Linked DNA regions of Arabidopsis thaliana. The protein of the gene in region 3 interacts with the protein of the main gene of each other region in a pairwise test. Each region holds a gene or a part of one and is shown on either strand. Other genes may lie near its edges.

Region 1 (6,198 bases), on a different chromosome or scaffold from region 3:
GTGACTTAGAAATTGTTCTTTGCGAAGGCAAAAGCTACAGTTTGTTAGTTGGCGCGCAATTTGAGCTGGGAAGAGTCCAATGAGAGTACCAAAAGTCTCGGACTAAACGTCTTCAAAAAAGTAACCATGGAATAATAATTTATTTTTATAGTATAGTTTGAAACAAAGAAAAAAAGAAACACGTTTGTCAGAAAAGTAATAAGTGGAAGATGTCAAATTGCTGGCTTGCACCGTAAGCCAAAAAAACACTGAAAAAGTAAAATTTCAATTTAAGGTGGATTGGTGCCCAAGACTTACAATATCTATTTCTTCACGATATTTACGATAATTTTCAAAGTCTTAGCCGCAAAGAAATCTATAATGACCAAAACATATTGAAAAACAAATCCTAGCATACCAGAATCTGCCTAAACTGGGAAGTCACCACGTGTCTTGTAGCCGTACATTTAATTGTCGTAAGCACCACGCGTGTTCTCTTAGACGGTATCTAGACATGTGTTCCCACCTTAATTTCTGAAGGCTCTGGTGAATTCTAGGACAATCTATGCAGACAAAAATTTATAGTTTATTGTTTGGTTTTATGTTCGAAATTTAATAGTGATTGTACTGCGCTCCGTAATATTTTCTACAGTTTGTACGTGTTGTGTTTTTCCAATGGAAAAGGAAGATAACGGATCGAAACAGAGCTCCTCTGCTTCTGTTGTATCCTCGAGAAGACGAAGAAGAGTGGTTGAGCCAGTGGAAGCGACGTTACAGAGATGGGAGGAAGAAGGATTGGCGAGAGCTCGTAGGGTTCAAGCCAAAGGTTCGAAGAAAGGTTGTATGAGAGGAAAAGGTGGACCAGAGAATCCTGTTTGTCGGTTTAGAGGTGTTCGACAAAGGGTTTGGGGGAAATGGGTTGCTGAGATACGTGAACCAGTGAGTCACCGTGGTGCAAACTCTAGTCGTAGTAAACGGCTTTGGCTTGGCACGTTTGCTACTGCAGCTGAAGCTGCTTTGGCTTACGACAGAGCTGCTAGTGTCATGTACGGACCCTATGCCAGGTTAAATTTCCCGGAAGATTTGGGTGGGGGAAGGAAGAAGGACGAGGAGGCGGAAAGTTCGGGAGGCTATTGGTTGGAAACTAACAAAGCCGGTAATGGCGTGATTGAAACGGAAGGTGGAAAAGACTATGTAGTCTACAATGAAGACGCTATTGAGCTTGGCCATGACAAGACTCAGAATCCTATGACTGATAATGAAATAGTGAACCCAGCAGTGAAATCAGAGGAAGGTTACAGCTATGATCGATTCAAATTGGATAACGGATTGTTGTATAATGAACCTCAAAGCTCCAGTTATCACCAGGGAGGTGGATTCGATTCATATTTTGAGTATTTCAGATTCTAGCTTAGGATTTATGCTGCATCAATATACTATGACTATGAGACTATGTTTTTTACATTGTTAGTTTACTCCATTTTCATTTATCTTAACTTAAGAGTCACGCATCATACCGCAAAAAACAGTGATCCGCTTCATTCTGGCTTCTCTGGAGCAGACCATAGCATTTTCCATGGACCGGTTCTTGTCCCCAATCTGAAACATGACGCAGTATCCTTTTAAGAAAAATTTCGGATGGGTTGAAAACTTGAAACTAGAACGGTCTTTTTAATTAATTGTTTACCTCCAGGCTCCAGCAACCAACCGCAACGCCATGAAGAGGAACAAACCAGTCCAGATCCCGGCAAGGCCAAACGTTGGTGCAGCCACAAGCATGAACAAGGAAGATATGAATCCGACAATCACCTGTTCCAAAATGAGAAATAATCAACTTTTTCCAGGTGAAGAAAAGGGAGAATCAAACGACCAATTGATGAAGAAGGAAAAGGGACCATAGAATAAGCGGCAAATCCGAAGTCAGAGACACCATAATAGAGCCCATCCAAAACAAACGCTAGAGCATTCACCGGTTGAGATCCAGCCACAAACTGCATCCAGCCAACATTATTTAGATATTGTCTGAGACTACCCTTTTCAAACTCTTTCTGGATTAAAAGATAAGATCTTACTAAGGTCCCTGACAAAGCAATCTTTAAAACTTCTGAATCCGTTGTGAATAAGCTTGAAAATGGTTCGAAAGTGATGAACAATACAGCAGCCAAACCAGTTCCAGTTGCTAAACCTACCTACTTAAAAGATTGCAATTGTACATTATAACATCGAATATATAGGGTAGGATATAAACTAGGGATGTAATGAATTATGAATACGAACTTGAAGGACTCCGAAGAGAACTTCCCGGGCTTGTTTGTATTCTCCTTGAGAGTAAGTGGTGGCAAGAAGACTCTGAAAATAGAGGTAGAAAATATAAGTGAAAATCTTCTCCCCAAAAGGTAATCTTGGATCATGCTAATGGGATTCTTATATCACAGTAAATCTTGGTAGAGATTGTCTGTTTCGAAGATGATTTGCAAAAGATATTAGACCTGTGCAGCAATGGCTAAAGCATCGGTGAGTAAAGAGACAGCCAACCAGATTTCCAAGACGATTTGATGGCCAGCCATTTGAGTGGGTCCATTTTGAGCTGCTAACGAAGTAGCTAATGTGAATGGCACAAGCAAAGCCACCGTTCTACCAATGAGAAGCCCACCTAAGCATGAATCAATACATTTCATATAGTAGCCTTTCTGAATCGTTTAAAGAAAACTTGAAAATTTTAAGGAATTACCTGATTTGAGGTACTGGTTGGCTCTTCCCACTTTGATTTGAGGAGAGAGCAAAACTACATTCTCATTCAACTTCCATAGAAGAATAAATGCAATCAAGTATCTGAAGAAACGTTGACAAGTGAGAAACATAAGAAGCCACAAATTAAGATAGATATGCTTTACTAGAAAACGAGTCTATTACCACATTTTTGGACATACTCAGAAATCACAGTAGCAGCCGCAGCACCAGAGATACCAAAACCAAGGACAAATATCAGGATTGGATCCAATACCGCATTAAGTACATTCCCCGCAACTGTTGATATAGAGTTCACCATATTAGAAACATGTATGTGAAACTGCTAATGCATATATACGGTCTAGTGAGCTAATGCGCATATACTATTTATTTCCTCAGATCCATTCATGCATAAATACAAAAAAAATAGATGATTGTGCAATACTTGCCAACGGCATATAGAGGCGTTGTTGTGTCCTTGAAACCTCGAAAAGCTCCTTGCGCAGCCAATGCAACAACAATTGGTGGTGCACCATACGCTCGAAGTCTGAGGAACTGCTCTGCTGGTATCCGCATTGGTGAATCCTAAAAAAATTACAAACCGAGAAAGAAGAGCGATCAGCTATACAAAACTTCAAAGATAACAGCTTATATAAAAGAAGTTCAACGTGAGCTTAGAGACATTACAAAAGGTATAGCCATGACATCCATCAAGAAATCAGACCCGAGAGATAGCGCAATGGCCTCTGCAATACCAACTCCAGCAGCAAGAACTAATGAAGTTGAAACCGAAGGCAGCACTTTCTTGCCTTTAACACCAACAAATAAACAACAGATTCAAAGTAAAGAAACAATCTTTGAAGAAAACAATAAAAACATTTTTCATTATAAGCTTTAAGGAAAGTAAAATACTTGTTTCTATAGAATCATTATCATCCTTAGCAGCAATTGCTTGCTCCTCCGCAACAAACGATGTTGTGACATTTAGTAAAGGAACATTGAAGAGCTTCGACACCAAATTGAATACAGAAACTGACACTCCTACTGCAGCTAATTCCGCAGAACCTGTCACATTACACATATGAATGTTAAAAATGTGAACTTTCGAAAAATGTGAAATTGTTGAAACCAAGCAAAAAGTAAGTATTTACCAATATGGCCAACGAAGGCAGTGTCGACAAGAGATGTTATAGGATCAGCAGCTAAAGCTAATGCAGCAGGTAATGCAATTGACATTATCTCCATTCCAATTTTACCAATCCTAAACCCAAAAAAATCAAATACATTAGAAACCATTCAAAGTTGAATACAGAAGAAGCATTATTAGGCTAAGGTACGAACCCAGGATCCGGTTTGTGATCATGATCCGGTTTATTCTGTGAAGTCAGAGGATTCTGCTGCTTTTCCGGTCGCTGAGAAGAAGTGGAGACGGCTGGAGATTCATCGCGAGGAGATGATTTACAGACGATTGTTCTTCGAATGGATGAATTAGGGTTTCCAAAACGTGACGGCGATCGATGGGGAGAGAAACAGAAGGAGGTAGCGACCGCCGCCATTGCGGAGAACGAGAGACGGAGAAAAATCTCGGCGGAGGAGGAAGAAAGAGAGCCACATGTTGATGTTCACTCTTTTTATCTATCTCTACTCACTAACTGATTAAACGGTCACATGTCTAAACTAGCTGTACCTTATGGATGGGCCTTTAATGGGCTTTTTATTGGGCTTTTAAATAGCTTGTTTGTTTGTTACTTTGTTTTTTGTTTTTTTTTCTGCCAATGTTACACTTTGTATCTTTAAGATAGCTTCATCTTTTTTCTTTGTTGTGCCGTGACTCTCATATGTAAGTCATGAGTTTGATTCGTGTATTATCACTCACTTTCTCAATTTAGCAACAACTCAAAAGAAATATCTCTTTCTCCAGTTATCTTGTGACTTGGATTTGCATTTTTTTTATACACTTAAAATTTTGTTTAGTTGTTTTTTGAATGGATCCAAATTTGGATTATAGGTCCGCATATTTTGATTTTTGGGAGTATATTTGAAATCCGCATATCTAGTGTTCAAGAATCTTGATATAGAAAGTTGTAAGATCATTTGATATCCTAAAACTCAGAATTCTTTTTTTGGGTTCAAAAGCAATAACTAGTTCTTAAGAGCATATATTGGGAAAAAATAAAAATAAAGATCAAGGACGTGTTTCATGATTCAGCAGAGTTGGTTTTTGTTTTGTTTTTTGGGTTCAAAAGCAGAGTTGGATTTTAATAGATAAAGAAACATAGAGTACAAGAGTAAGGCATAGAATTGAAGTCAGCCAATTTACATCGAAAATTGGAGCGTTAGTTAAAAGAATTTATTGAGAGAGTTGCGACGCCGTGCAGCATCAGCAGAGCAGCCTCACATGACTTGCGGTCCCAGCAAATTACAGAAGAAGAAGACCTATCCTCTCTCTTTTTGAACAACCTGATTATGCACGTTGAAATACAGTAACACGTCTAACACTAGTATCATATTAAGTAAATAATACTAAATGGACCATATAACTCTTCATTCAACTTTATCAATAATGTAAGTTTGTAAGGTATTAATTAAATACCGGGGTTTACTTCTCCTATGATTATTTTATAACATTAGAATTTTGTAGTAGCATTAGGCTGTATTTTGAAAAGAAAAAACCTTTGTAATAGCATTACTATTTTACTCAGTAGTTAGAAGATGTGTTAGGAACTTGTATATGATTGGTCGGATCGATTACTGATTAAACCTTAAACCGTTGCTCATTGGTCTTTTTTATAACAATTCATAATATAACATATGAAAGAATGAAATACATATAATATATAGCTTGGGAACGCGTTCTCCTAAATTCCATACAACAGTTTGTCACTAAAATACCAAATTAGTAATTCTAAATACCAAATTATCCATTATTGACCAATACTGGTTATCATCCATTCCAAATTTAGATATAGACATACTTAGTGGCACAGGCTGTATACAACAGTTTGTCACTAAAATTCATTGTAAATGGCTACTTTCTCCTAAATTCAATACAACGTTTTACGTTGCAACCTTTGCAAAATATAATGATTTTTACAACGAAAATGAATACTACATATCCCAACGTTTTGACTATATTATAAATCCCAATGTTTGCAGAAAGTCACTGGACTACCAAGACAAACTAAATAGTTATTTAGTTTAAACAAGCGAGATGTATAACTTCTATATACAGAGCAACTATCTTTGGTTAGAACTCCGGACCATAAATATATTCGTACTAAATTGGCAAAGAAACAAACATGCATAGAATTCAAATTAGAAATTAAATTTCCGGTTTCTTGTATTCGATCTCTTTTTCTTGAATGTTACATAAATTCATGCAATTAACATATTAATAAGGTCTCTGAAGAAGAAAGTGAAAACGTAGAAGAAGAATCACCAAGAATATGCGACCAAAAAACTCACCATGAAGATAACATACAAGATACT
Region 2 (4,891 bases), on a different chromosome or scaffold from region 3:
CAGTAAAGATGTGAGAAAAATAGTCTGAAAAGTTGGTAGGCATCCTTTCCACATAGAAAATCTTTAAGCAATGGCATGAGAAGATCCATTGTTTAAGCTTCTTTCATTGCATTGCTTATCGATTTGCTATGGAGAAAGGGTTGACCAAAGGCTTGTCATCATGTCTGTCACTCACATCATCTTTTAAGCTGTCACCAACCATCATGACTTCATTAGGTTGGATGTCCCATGTAGAACATATATGCAACAGCGGGTCTGGGTTTGGTTTATATGGACGAAACTCTCTGCCTAGTGCTGGAGAAAAGATAACCTATACAATGAAAAATAACTGTAAGGAACTGCCTCAGATTTCTTCTCTCTGATAAAAAAAAAAGAATGATCCAGCTAAACCTATCTCAGGCAGCTGTCAAAATGTCTTCAATTCAACATTCTTACCTCAAAACGTTGATGGAAGATGTCGATTGCCTTTTGAACATTGCGTGTAATTAGCCCCCTCCTATAAAGTAAAATACAAAATGTAACAACAGTCAAGTTATCTGAACAAGAAAACAAAAAATCATAGACAGAAGTATCTGAAAACCACAGACTTTATCTTTTTGGAATCAAGGAAGCCACATAGTTCAGCAGTACCTGCCACATAAATGATCACATATCAGAAGAGAATTAAACCTCTAAACGCCAAAGAAACACAGTACTCCTTCTAGATTTTCAACTGCTAAATCATCTTATAGAACTCAACAGCATAAAGTCAATGACCAGTAAAGGAATGATCTCAAATCGTGATGTGGGGCTCTAAGACAAAAGTCAAACCTCCGTTAGACCATAAAGTCTTCACTTTTAACAAATGTTCATTTTATCTTTCAGCCTTGAATTTGCAATCTTTTCTCATCTTTAACTCTACGAAATTCTCAATCTTTAACCCATTTTACGATAGATTATCAGACGAAAACCCAAATCCTTAACACTTCCTCAGCGCAAACACAAAATCAAAAATAAAAAAATAAAGCAGATGAATCCGTACCAGGCATGATTTGAAGCTTATCTATTCCTTGTTTCTCATAATCAGCAATGATTTCATACGCCTTCTGCTGTTTATCAGGACTCCACGACTCAATATGATGCAGAATATCAATCCCACTAGGGCTCTCTGCTTTGATTCGCTTGTAAGCATCTTCACCAAGAACAGCTCTATACATTGCGGCGAAATCGATGACCGGAACAGTCAGGGTTCCGTCCATATCGAATACAACACCTCTCAGGCGAGTTTTAGCGTTCGTCGTTAAATTCGCCATGGAAATCGAACAAGAAGGTCTGAGAGTGAGAGAAATAAATGTTCTTGATAAGAGGAAAGTCATGGAAAAGAAATGGTGATGCTCAAACTGAAATTGAGGCTCATAATTATTCTCTATTTTTAACCAATTTCGGTTCGGTTTAATTTGAACAACTTGGTTTGTTTTGGTTTAGTGGTTTTTCACTTGAGCATGTTTGTGTATGTGCTTAAGAATGGAAACAAAGACACCAACAATCTCAACAATAATGGTTCTGCTGCCTTTTCTCTTCTTACTCTCTTCCTCTTCGGTAACGGTTTCTTCTTCGGTTCGCTTGTTGGCCGTTCGGGAATGGTGGTACCAAGCCCGTCTAACTCGTCCCACCCACCAAACTTAGAAGCCATTCCAGCTGAACTACGGTTAACTCCACGGCCATTGACATTGTTTCTAACGGTTGATGGGTTGTATCGAATCCTGCTACTACTTCTCTCCACTTCTTCTTCTTCTTCCTCTATCCCGAATTGATTTGCTATTGATGTACCTCTGCGTTTATCCCAACCAATCAACTTCTGGAACGCATAAAATAACAATGATGGCCCGATTGCTACGGCTAGTGACACGAGGAAAGCTTTGGGTCCGGTGCTGAAGAAAAGCGATAAGATGATGAATGGGAGGAGATATCCATACGATTTGAATGCCTACAAAGTGAACATAAACCAAACACAATAAAGATCCCACACCAACAATAAGAGAGCAAAATCTGGTGTATGCAAATAAAATGCAGCTATATATCAACAAAGCCGTTTCTCTTATCTTTGAGCAGAAAGACACTATCTAGTTAGAAATCAAAACTAGTTCAGATTCACTACACAACGATATTAACTGTTTCTTACATGATCACCATAACCATTACCAAAGAACAATTTTGATACTTTAATCAATCAGCATTTTCAATTAGCAGTAGTAGATTCCCGGCTAATTTCATAATTAAGGCTTAAAAGATGCATGATTGAAACTAATTACCTTTAAAATCCAAACATTATCTACAATTTCCTCTAAGATCTTCCACAGGTCAAAATTAGCACTACCAATTCCACCACCACCATCATCTTCATCATCATCGTCTTCAACATTATCTTCAAAAAGTTCTTCCCATAGCTCCCGCCGCTTCCTTCCCCTTTTTCCCCTTTCCGTCAAACGGTATCCCCTACCGTCATCAGCGGCGGCGCATATTTTATAGCTGAATCTCCGGCGGTTCAGCTGAATTATCTTCGCCGAAGTTACTCTAGAGCATGAGGAAGAGAAACAGAGGAGTTGAGAACGAGAGGGAGGATAAGATCTAGGGTTGTGGAATCGCCAGACATGGAGGTTTGAGAAACTAAGATAAGTAGAAGCTCGCGGTAACGAAAGAGCTCCTCTATCCGCCATTAACGTCTGGCGAAGCGAGAACAGTGAAGAAAATGCTCTGCTCCATGTATAGACACACTCAACTTGCGCCACGTTGTCATCATCTCCTCCATTAGAATCGAATACTATAAACCGGCTTGGTCCAGGAGAAATGTTAGAACTGAAATCCGGTATAATTGCAGGGGTAATTTCGAGATCATCAAATGTCTGACCTGACACGCCTACGTGGATTCTCTTTTCTCTTCCTTTTTCCAGAAACGAGGGAGAGAGAGACGAAGCATCAAACAAGGCAAAAACAAAAAAAAACCAGGAGAGAATATTCCGAGGGAAAACGCGAGAAAATTTCTTACGTTCTGCGAGAATCTCCAGCTTTCCTGGGGAAATATTGGAAGGCAAAAGCCGAAGGGTTTAAGGTCTCTGTAATCGTCGGAGAAATTTGAAATATCGTCCGTAAAACGTGAATGTAGTCTTAATCTTCCGCATTTATAACGTCGATCAGAGATTTTGAAGCTAGTAGAGAGAGAGAAGCGTTTTGTGTTTGATTTATGGTGTTTGGATCCATGGTGTGGAAACACCAGCTGATTGGGTTCTCAGGGATTTTTTCTAATGTTTCTCCCGTTGGAAATCTTTATTCGGGATCATTTCTAGGAAAATCAGACCAGATTTGGCCGTGATAATGGTACGAGTCTCTCTTCTCTTATCTGCATTGCGATTTCTCCGTGTTCTTCATTTTTACCTTTTTTTTTTTATCTTCTGTAACCATAATTGCTATTTGAGCTGATTTTTATGTTGCCCCTTACATTTTAGATTTCATTATAAGATGTGTCTAAAAGAGAACAAAAGAACCAGCTAATGAAGCTTGACAATATTTTTTTTATTTGTTTCTAATATATTCTACTTTAATCAGGCTTCAGTGAAGGTAACTGTGGGGTCACAGGTCTGGGTGGAAGATCCAGATGAAGCCTGGCTAGATGGAGAAGTTGTGGAAGCTAACGGTCAAGAGATCAAAGTTAATTGCCAAACCAAGACGGTTAGTCCCTTTTCTCCAAAGCAACGAGACAATGTGTTAGTTCTTAAGGTACCTTAAGAATACATTGCTCATATTTGTGATGCATTTGTTTGTAGGTTGTGGCAAAGGTTAATGCTGTCCACCCCAAGGATCCTGAGTTTCCTGAGCTTGGTGTGGACGACATGACAAAGCTTGCGTATTTGCATGAACCAGGGGTTCTTCTCAATCTAAAAGCCAGATACAATGCAAATGAAATATATGTACGCTTCAGCATGTAACTCTTGTCAGTTTTCCTTCTTTCATTACACCCACTTATGAATTCTATGATTATCTCTACCATTGTTTTGCTGAAAATTACTGCACAGTTATAGCAATATCATTAATATTTCTCTGAAGTGTTTGTAGCAAGCTAATTTCTTCTTGATGGTTACAGACATACACAGGGAATATACTGATAGCTGTGAATCCCTTTAAAAGATTACCCCACCTATATGGAAATGAGATAATGGAGCAATATAAGGGCACAGATTTTGGCGAGTTAAGCCCACATCCTTTTGCTGTTGCTGATTCTGCATACAGGTAATCTTTTGTTGCATAGATGAAACTTTAACTAATGTTGCACTATCATTTTTTTTTGGGCCTCACCATCATCAAGAATATAAATTTAGAAAAATGATCAACGAGGGAGTAAGCCAGGCGATCTTGGTGAGTGGAGAAAGCGGTGCTGGGAAGACAGAGAGCACAAAAATGCTCATGCAATATCTTGCATACATGGGTGGAAAAGCTGAGAGTGAAGGACGATCTGTCGAACAGCAAGTTTTGGAGGTAGATAGTCTGTTTACAATGCATCTACATTCTTACTAGAGACAGACTCACTGAGTTTCTCTCTGTAGATATCTTCTTATTCTTCTCGTATTATGATCCTGTTATGCAGTCAAATCCAGTTTTAGAAGCTTTTGGTAATGCAAAAACCGTCAGAAACAATAATTCAAGGTGGAATGTCATTCACATTTCTTGATTTTTCAAGTTTATGTATGTTCTTGAAGTCAACCTTGACATATGTAGGCAAATCTCATATTGCAGTCGTTTTGGTAAATTTGTGGAGATTCAGTTCAATCATATGGGAAGAATCTCAGGAGCTGCTATTAGAACATATTTGCTGGAGAGGTCACGAGTTTGTCAAGTTTCTGATCCTGAAAGAAACTAT
Region 3 (6,014 bases):
GGATTTTGAGATTTTCAAACTTTTTGCTACACAGGGTATCATACATTGTATCAGTGGTACAAATCAGTAGAAAATGAACATTTTCCGGACCCTACTGGCCTCCGAGACCGTATTGAGCAGTGGACGTTCGGATTATATCCTGCCTGCATCAAGTATCTTATGTCAGCATTTGATATTCCCGAGGTAAAATCGTCAACTTAGCCTTCGTTTTAGCTGAAATAGAAAACTATTTTTCAGCCGAAAGTAAAGTATTTGACATAGGTGATGGCGGTTACACGGACTAACATCTGTCGAGAAAGGAATGGGAGTCACTTTCTCGAAGCGGAGCAAGCCATCTATTATGCTTCTGTGTTCCTCTACTTTTGGGTTCTTCTCAACCCCTGTTGTATCTTTGGTTTTTGGAAGTTACTTATATATATCCATCAACTGGCTTCACATACACTTTGATGAAGCATTTTCTTCACTTCGGATCGCCAATTAACAAATCATTCACCCGTTTCCAACATCAAACCTGATGGAGACCTTGAAGTCTTCACTCTCGGAGTAGACAAGGTGAGAAAAACAACTCTCGAAATGACAAAAGAAAAAGTTTGTGATTATAGAATTAAACAGAGGAGTGTATGTGATGAATGAGTACAGGTGCCAAAGGAATGGAAGCTGGACAAGGACTGGGATGCAGAGCCGAGATCGACTGTGAAAATGAGTCATCACAGAAGGTTTCCAAGCAAATGGTGTGCAACAACATTGCAGCAGGATCCTGTCAACACCGTAAAGATTGTCGATAAGTTTGTTATTCATAGATCAGAGAAAGAAACTGGAGGATCTTAGATAGAATCAGGTTCTTCACTGATCCTGTCGTTTAGAATGTAGTCATTAGCGTTTCCCGCTTTATGAATAGGCTTTGAGACGAATAATGCTTTCTTCTGAGAGTGATGACAAAAATAATTCATATCATAGTTAACAATTTAACAGCTCAATCTTTTGCAATTTCACTTTAGAATCTAATAACAAGTCTCTGACACAACTTTAACTCTATTTTGTGTCTCCTTCATCCAACATTATTCTATAAACCCTTTGAATTTGTGAGATAAAATATATATAAATACATGGCACATTCTCAAACCAATGACTTCCTTTCTTCGTCCTCTTCTCTATCACCATCGCCTCCTGCGATCCTAACCGCTGGTCTCGCCGGAATCTTGGCCGGAGCTTTACTATCCATTGGAACCATCTTCAATACAATCCCCATTGCTATCAACAGCAAGCCTGATCCGTGCTGTTCCGTTAACGGCTTTGTGAATATCAAATACGACAGCAACAATGTAACCCCTTTCCTAGCCGTTGTTATCTACACACAACGAAATGTGATTTTAGACCATTGAGTCAATTAAAATACAAATGAGTATTCAAAGATAAGATTAGATATTTACCAAGGCAGTTGTGGCGGCTCCAAAGAGAGCAATAAGCGAGAGAACGGAGACTTGACCGATAAATGTGGCCATGGCTTCAAATACAAGCACTCCATACACATACGGATGCTGCAAATATAAACAAAGCACAATTGGTTTTAAATATGTCAACCAATGAATCATTAAACCGTTTGACTATAAAATATTCCACGTTGGTACTTAAGTTATGGAATCAATGAATTTAAAAGAGACAATTTGGCTTTTAAAAAGTTTGGCAGATTCAGAGGCACGTCGTCGGTCAATGATCTCTCTCATTTCGTGGTACCAAGAATCCTACAAATTTTGACTTTTTCTCTAAACTGAGTCCAACTCCGGTTTGAATCATAAACCGAGTCAAATCTATAGAAGTACTTTCAAAGCCAAATAAAAGGTTCCACTCTTTGTCACTTTCACTTAAAATGGACGACTATCTCATAAGGTTAACTTGGTTTGGTTAAAGGTTGACCAAAAGTCAAACCAGAAAAAAGAGAACAGAGGTTGTTTACTTACTTGTGCACACGCAGTCCACGCACGAAAAACCTCTCCGGTTAAAACCATGGGAACGAACAAGAACGGTAATCCAACAACTGTTGAGCAGAAAAGCATCTCCATCTGCACAACACACATAACAAGAGTTAATCTCAGAAACGAAACAAAACAGACCGGTAAAGGAAAACCGAAAGAACCGTGTTTTCTTTAGTTTCCTTGCCTGAGTTGTCTCAGGATTCATTGTGAAGATAGCTTCTTGCAGATTACCCAAGAAAGCATCCATGATCAATGCACCGGTTATCATCATAATCCCAATCATACTGAAATTTGGAGACATTTGCGCATCGGCTAATGTGAATAGGATCAAACCAAGAACAAGCAAGAACGCTGAAATGTATTCATGGACTGGGTATTTTCTTCTAAGACCGGGTATAAACGCTCCCATTATCATCACCGGTAACACCTAAAACATCCGAAAGATGGTCATTCCGATCATTCTTTAAACTCAATTTAAACTCATTGAGACTGTAATTGGGAAATGTGGATCTATTACCTTGGTGGATTTGAACATGATTTGAGCTGGATAATTGAGATAAGCCAAAGATCCTTTGGTTAAACCATGTGAACCCATGAGAACAGCAGAGAGTTTGACATAAGTTCTCATCGGATTAACTATATGCTTTGTGGTAAAGCCTTGAAGGTAGATTAGAAACAAGTAGACAAATCCTTGTATAAACGTGAAATACCACCCAAAGCTACAAAGACAGAGCAAAATCCCATTGTTAACTTTTGTTCAAATCTAAAACTTAAAAGAGTAATCAAAAGTTGACTTTTACCTAAATTGAAGACGATTATAAACATATTCCTGCAAAACCAAAGAAAAATAAATCAAGTCAATGATCATATATGAGTACTTGTAGATCCAATCACATTCTCTAAAATCTGTTTTCTTTACAAAGATCACAGATTTTTTGTGATCTCTCACAAGTTTGGAGAGAGTTTAGTTCGTCATGCAATTTTTTCTTCTTCCTCTGTTTTTTTTTCTCTCAGAAACAAAACATCAAACACTTAGCATGCAAGAGATTGAAAATGCAAAAAAATTATAAATTTACGAGATTCAGGAGCTGGGTATGTGGAATTATGACAAAGAACAAACAAAAACATTAACGTTGATTGATTATGTATCAAAATTCTCGAATCAAATTGCAAAAAAGAGAGAAACGAACCTCGCAAACACCGTTAACGAGATAACCAAAAAAGAAACCAGAAGTGCAAATGAGAAACTGTTGCCAAGTTGGTTTATCAGACAAAGAGATTCCAAACAGAGATCTTGTTTGTTCCTCCTTCATTTTTCTTTTCTTTTCTTTGAGGAGAGATTCAAAGGAAGAAACCCAGAAAGTGAATTAAGAGTAATTGATCAAACACATGTAAAGTGATGACTCATAACGGTATTATTATCACTCCTCGAAATAACGAAAACCACACCACAAAAAGGGTAATCAAAGAATAATTAAAACCAAATTCTTCACTCTCCTCGAGAAACTTGATGAAGAGGGAAGAGAGAGTTAATAGATGTATTGGTAAAAGAGGAGGAGGAAGAAGAGAGCTTTTAAGAAGGAAGGAGAAAACGCATGAAGAAGAAGAAGAAGAAGAGACTCGTCGCGTGATTTGCCACTTCGGGACACGTTTTTTCTCCATTGAGCGTTCTTCTTCTTCTTTTTACGTTTCCTGTTACTCTTTTTTTTACCGGTAAAACTCAAATTTGCAAGTAAGACCCTTAACGTTTATGTATGTTTGATTTAAGTCTGAAACTTTTGTTTATCTACACACCACGACAAAATTTGCATTACCAGCGTGGCACATTTTTTTGTCTTAAGTCTTTTATTGCATGATCTCATGTTTGCTAATTACGATCATATCATATTATTACCAGCTTGGTATATATATATATATAAAATTTGGGTTTTAATGACAGTTTGTGTTGTATATGTGTTGTTTGAAAAATGTATTTATAATAAATTTTGGTATAAAAATAAGAAAAATAAATGCTATGACTTATCAAATAAAATTATCTAAATTTGTCTATAAAAAAAAGTATCAAAGTAAAATGGAACAAATAAGGGTAAAAATTGATATATAAGAAACATATCAAATCAGATCTTGCTAGTCAAAATTGTAAATTTTTATCTACATTTAGGATCTGTATATTGACTATGTTTTCTAAATAACATTTGTTAAAAAAAGTGAAAGAATTCAAAAAAGTAGTGTGACAATTTTTACAAAAACCTTAATTAGAAGTCTAAAATCATATGATATCATCAAATCTTGATATAAAGTAAAAAGAAAGTGTGTCACTGACTCTACACATTAGAAAACTAGAGGCACTAATAAAAAAAATAAGATAAACTTTAGGGGTGCGTTTTCATATTTTCTTTATTTGATGCAAAAGAAAGTTACTACTTCGAGAGAATAAGAGAATAAAAAGGAAAATTTAATAAAGATAATCAATATGGCTTACGAGTCAACTTTCCGGTTTAAGACAGATTGAGTCATTGTCTCAATAGACGCCATTACAGTCTGTCTTTTACAATTTCATCATCTTTCCTGAATTTTGTTTTTGTTATTTTCGGAAGTGATTGTTAAATGCGTTACAGAAGTTCTGGTCATGTCAGAATTACATATTGACATAACATCTGGACACGTTTTGGTAAAGAAATCAATTTACTCTTTTTCTTTTCATCTTCTATATCCATATTGAGCAATAAACTTCACACATGCATATTCATTCTTTCACCAACAGAGTAGTTGTTTTGTTCTAGTTGAAAACTCTAGTGAACAAATTTGGAGGAACATATACAAAATGTGTAAGCAAAATAATGACGATATTTAGTCAATGAATTGAAATGTTTTAGAAGAATTAGGTGGCGGTGTATGGTGAACAGTCGAAATATACATTATTATTGGCTATTAGTTCTAAAGAAGCGATTATAATCGTCGTATATGAAATAGCATATAGACAAAATGGTTTGTTTTAAAATAGACCGTTTAATAATAGCTTTGATTAGTGACACTGATAAGTTAAAATGGAATAGAAAATAAATTAACTATGAGTCTATAGTCATACAAATATCATATATGCATATAGGCGTCGCAAAGAGCCAAAGACCATATTCTTTTTTTTTTTTTGGTCAAAAGCCAAAGACCATATTCTTTTCTTGAAATACCAACGCGAAACTCAACAATAAATCTGATATTTATTTTATTTTTTGTTCAAAGGCTTAAATGAGAGAGCTTACTGCAATATTACAACAACAAAAAAATTGCAATTGGTATTAGAGATTTTTTCCTATCAAATTTATTTCTATTAGAAGGTCAAGCTTTACGTGCAATTGTATTAATACATAAAGTTACAAATGATAATCTCTACACATAACAAAATTGATCTTACTCGTAGATATTTTTCTTGCTTAAAACCATTTGTGTGGTTCATAATAAACGGAAGACTTCGATCGAGAGACTTTTGCATATGCAAGCAACCCATCACATTTCACAAATTGACAACAATATTATTGCTAGAAAACTATAGATTTATGTAGATATATATTTTATTCTTTTTTGTTAAAAAAAAATCAGACATTTACATTCAAACTCAAGCGAGTAAAAGAATCAAAGTCGTTAGAGAAACAATCCAGTGACGTACGGTCAAATAGTGTGGGCCTTAGCTTCAGCCATTTTGTACAGAGTACCGGAATCTTACCAAACACCGAAGGCAGGTCCAGTTACACTAGTTAGCGGTTACGTCTCCTTCTAATTTTCATAGATGAATTAGTTTTTTTCTTCTAAATAAAATACGAATTTTTAATAAGATTTTGTGTTATTATTGATTATGGACACTGTTACTGCCGTATTATCATGCGCAAAACAGGGTTGGCAAACTTATAATAGGTGATACTTGTACAATTTATCTATATACTTATTAATTCAAATTCAAGTATTTGTGTAGCTACTACTACAACTAGACGTGATAGTCAGCATATATGAATTATTCTTTCTTTGCTAGGAATATTTTTAAAATAT

The links. The genes of interacting proteins can lie anywhere in the genome.
Region 1: the proteins of UTR2 (region 3) and AT2G38330 interact in a protein complementation assay, tested with the Arabidopsis thaliana proteins (one large-scale study listed by BioGRID).
Region 2: the proteins of UTR2 (region 3) and AT2G33250 interact in a protein complementation assay, tested with the Arabidopsis thaliana proteins (one large-scale study listed by BioGRID).

The regions. Positions count from the first base shown.
Region 1 is NC_003071.7:16,062,638-16,068,835, reverse strand, and holds AT2G38330 (MATE efflux family protein), read right to left. Parts: upstream 4,334-6,198; 5' UTR 4,266-4,333; coding exon 4,051-4,265; intron 3,971-4,050; coding exon 3,861-3,970; intron 3,775-3,860; coding exon 3,622-3,774; intron 3,519-3,621; coding exon 3,397-3,518; intron 3,295-3,396; coding exon 3,159-3,294; intron 3,007-3,158; coding exon 2,910-3,006; intron 2,812-2,909; coding exon 2,711-2,811; intron 2,633-2,710; coding exon 2,469-2,632; intron 2,329-2,468; coding exon 2,257-2,328; intron 2,169-2,256; coding exon 2,052-2,168; intron 1,971-2,051; coding exon 1,875-1,970; intron 1,789-1,874; coding exon 1,667-1,788; intron 1,579-1,666; coding exon 1,518-1,578; 3' UTR 1,399-1,517; downstream 1-1,398. Other genes in the region: AT2G38350 (uncharacterized protein), read right to left, coding at 445-495; DREB19 (Integrase-type DNA-binding superfamily protein), read left to right, coding at 655-1,389.
Region 2 is NC_003071.7:14,095,259-14,100,149, reverse strand, and holds AT2G33250 (uncharacterized protein), read right to left. Parts: upstream 2,782-4,891; 5' UTR 2,697-2,781; coding exon 2,292-2,696; intron 1,967-2,291; coding exon 1,472-1,966; 3' UTR 1,399-1,471; downstream 1-1,398. Other genes in the region: AT2G33255 (Haloacid dehalogenase-like hydrolase (HAD) superfamily protein), read right to left, coding at 176-310, 436-496, 588-630, 1,022-1,355; XID (myosin XI D), read left to right, coding at 3,236-3,292, 3,583-3,705, 3,801-3,944, 4,118-4,263, 4,353-4,509, 4,619-4,677, 4,768-4,891.
Region 3 is NC_003075.7:12,059,201-12,065,214, forward strand, and holds UTR2 (UDP-galactose transporter 2), read right to left. Parts: upstream 3,659-6,014; 5' UTR 3,287-3,658; coding exon 3,164-3,286; intron 2,803-3,163; coding exon 2,774-2,802; intron 2,693-2,773; coding exon 2,491-2,692; intron 2,401-2,490; coding exon 2,158-2,400; coding exon of another isoform or gene 2,135-2,157; intron 2,089-2,134; coding exon of another isoform or gene 2,061-2,088; coding exon 1,959-2,060; intron 1,876-1,958; coding exon 1,735-1,875; intron 1,539-1,734; coding exon 1,431-1,538; intron 1,383-1,430; coding exon of another isoform or gene 1,349-1,382; coding exon 1,118-1,348; coding exon of another isoform or gene 1,107-1,117; 3' UTR 984-1,106; downstream 1-983. Other genes in the region: AT4G23000 (Calcineurin-like metallo-phosphoesterase superfamily protein), read left to right, coding at 35-183, 262-447; AT4G23015 (uncharacterized protein), read left to right, coding at 1,107-1,382.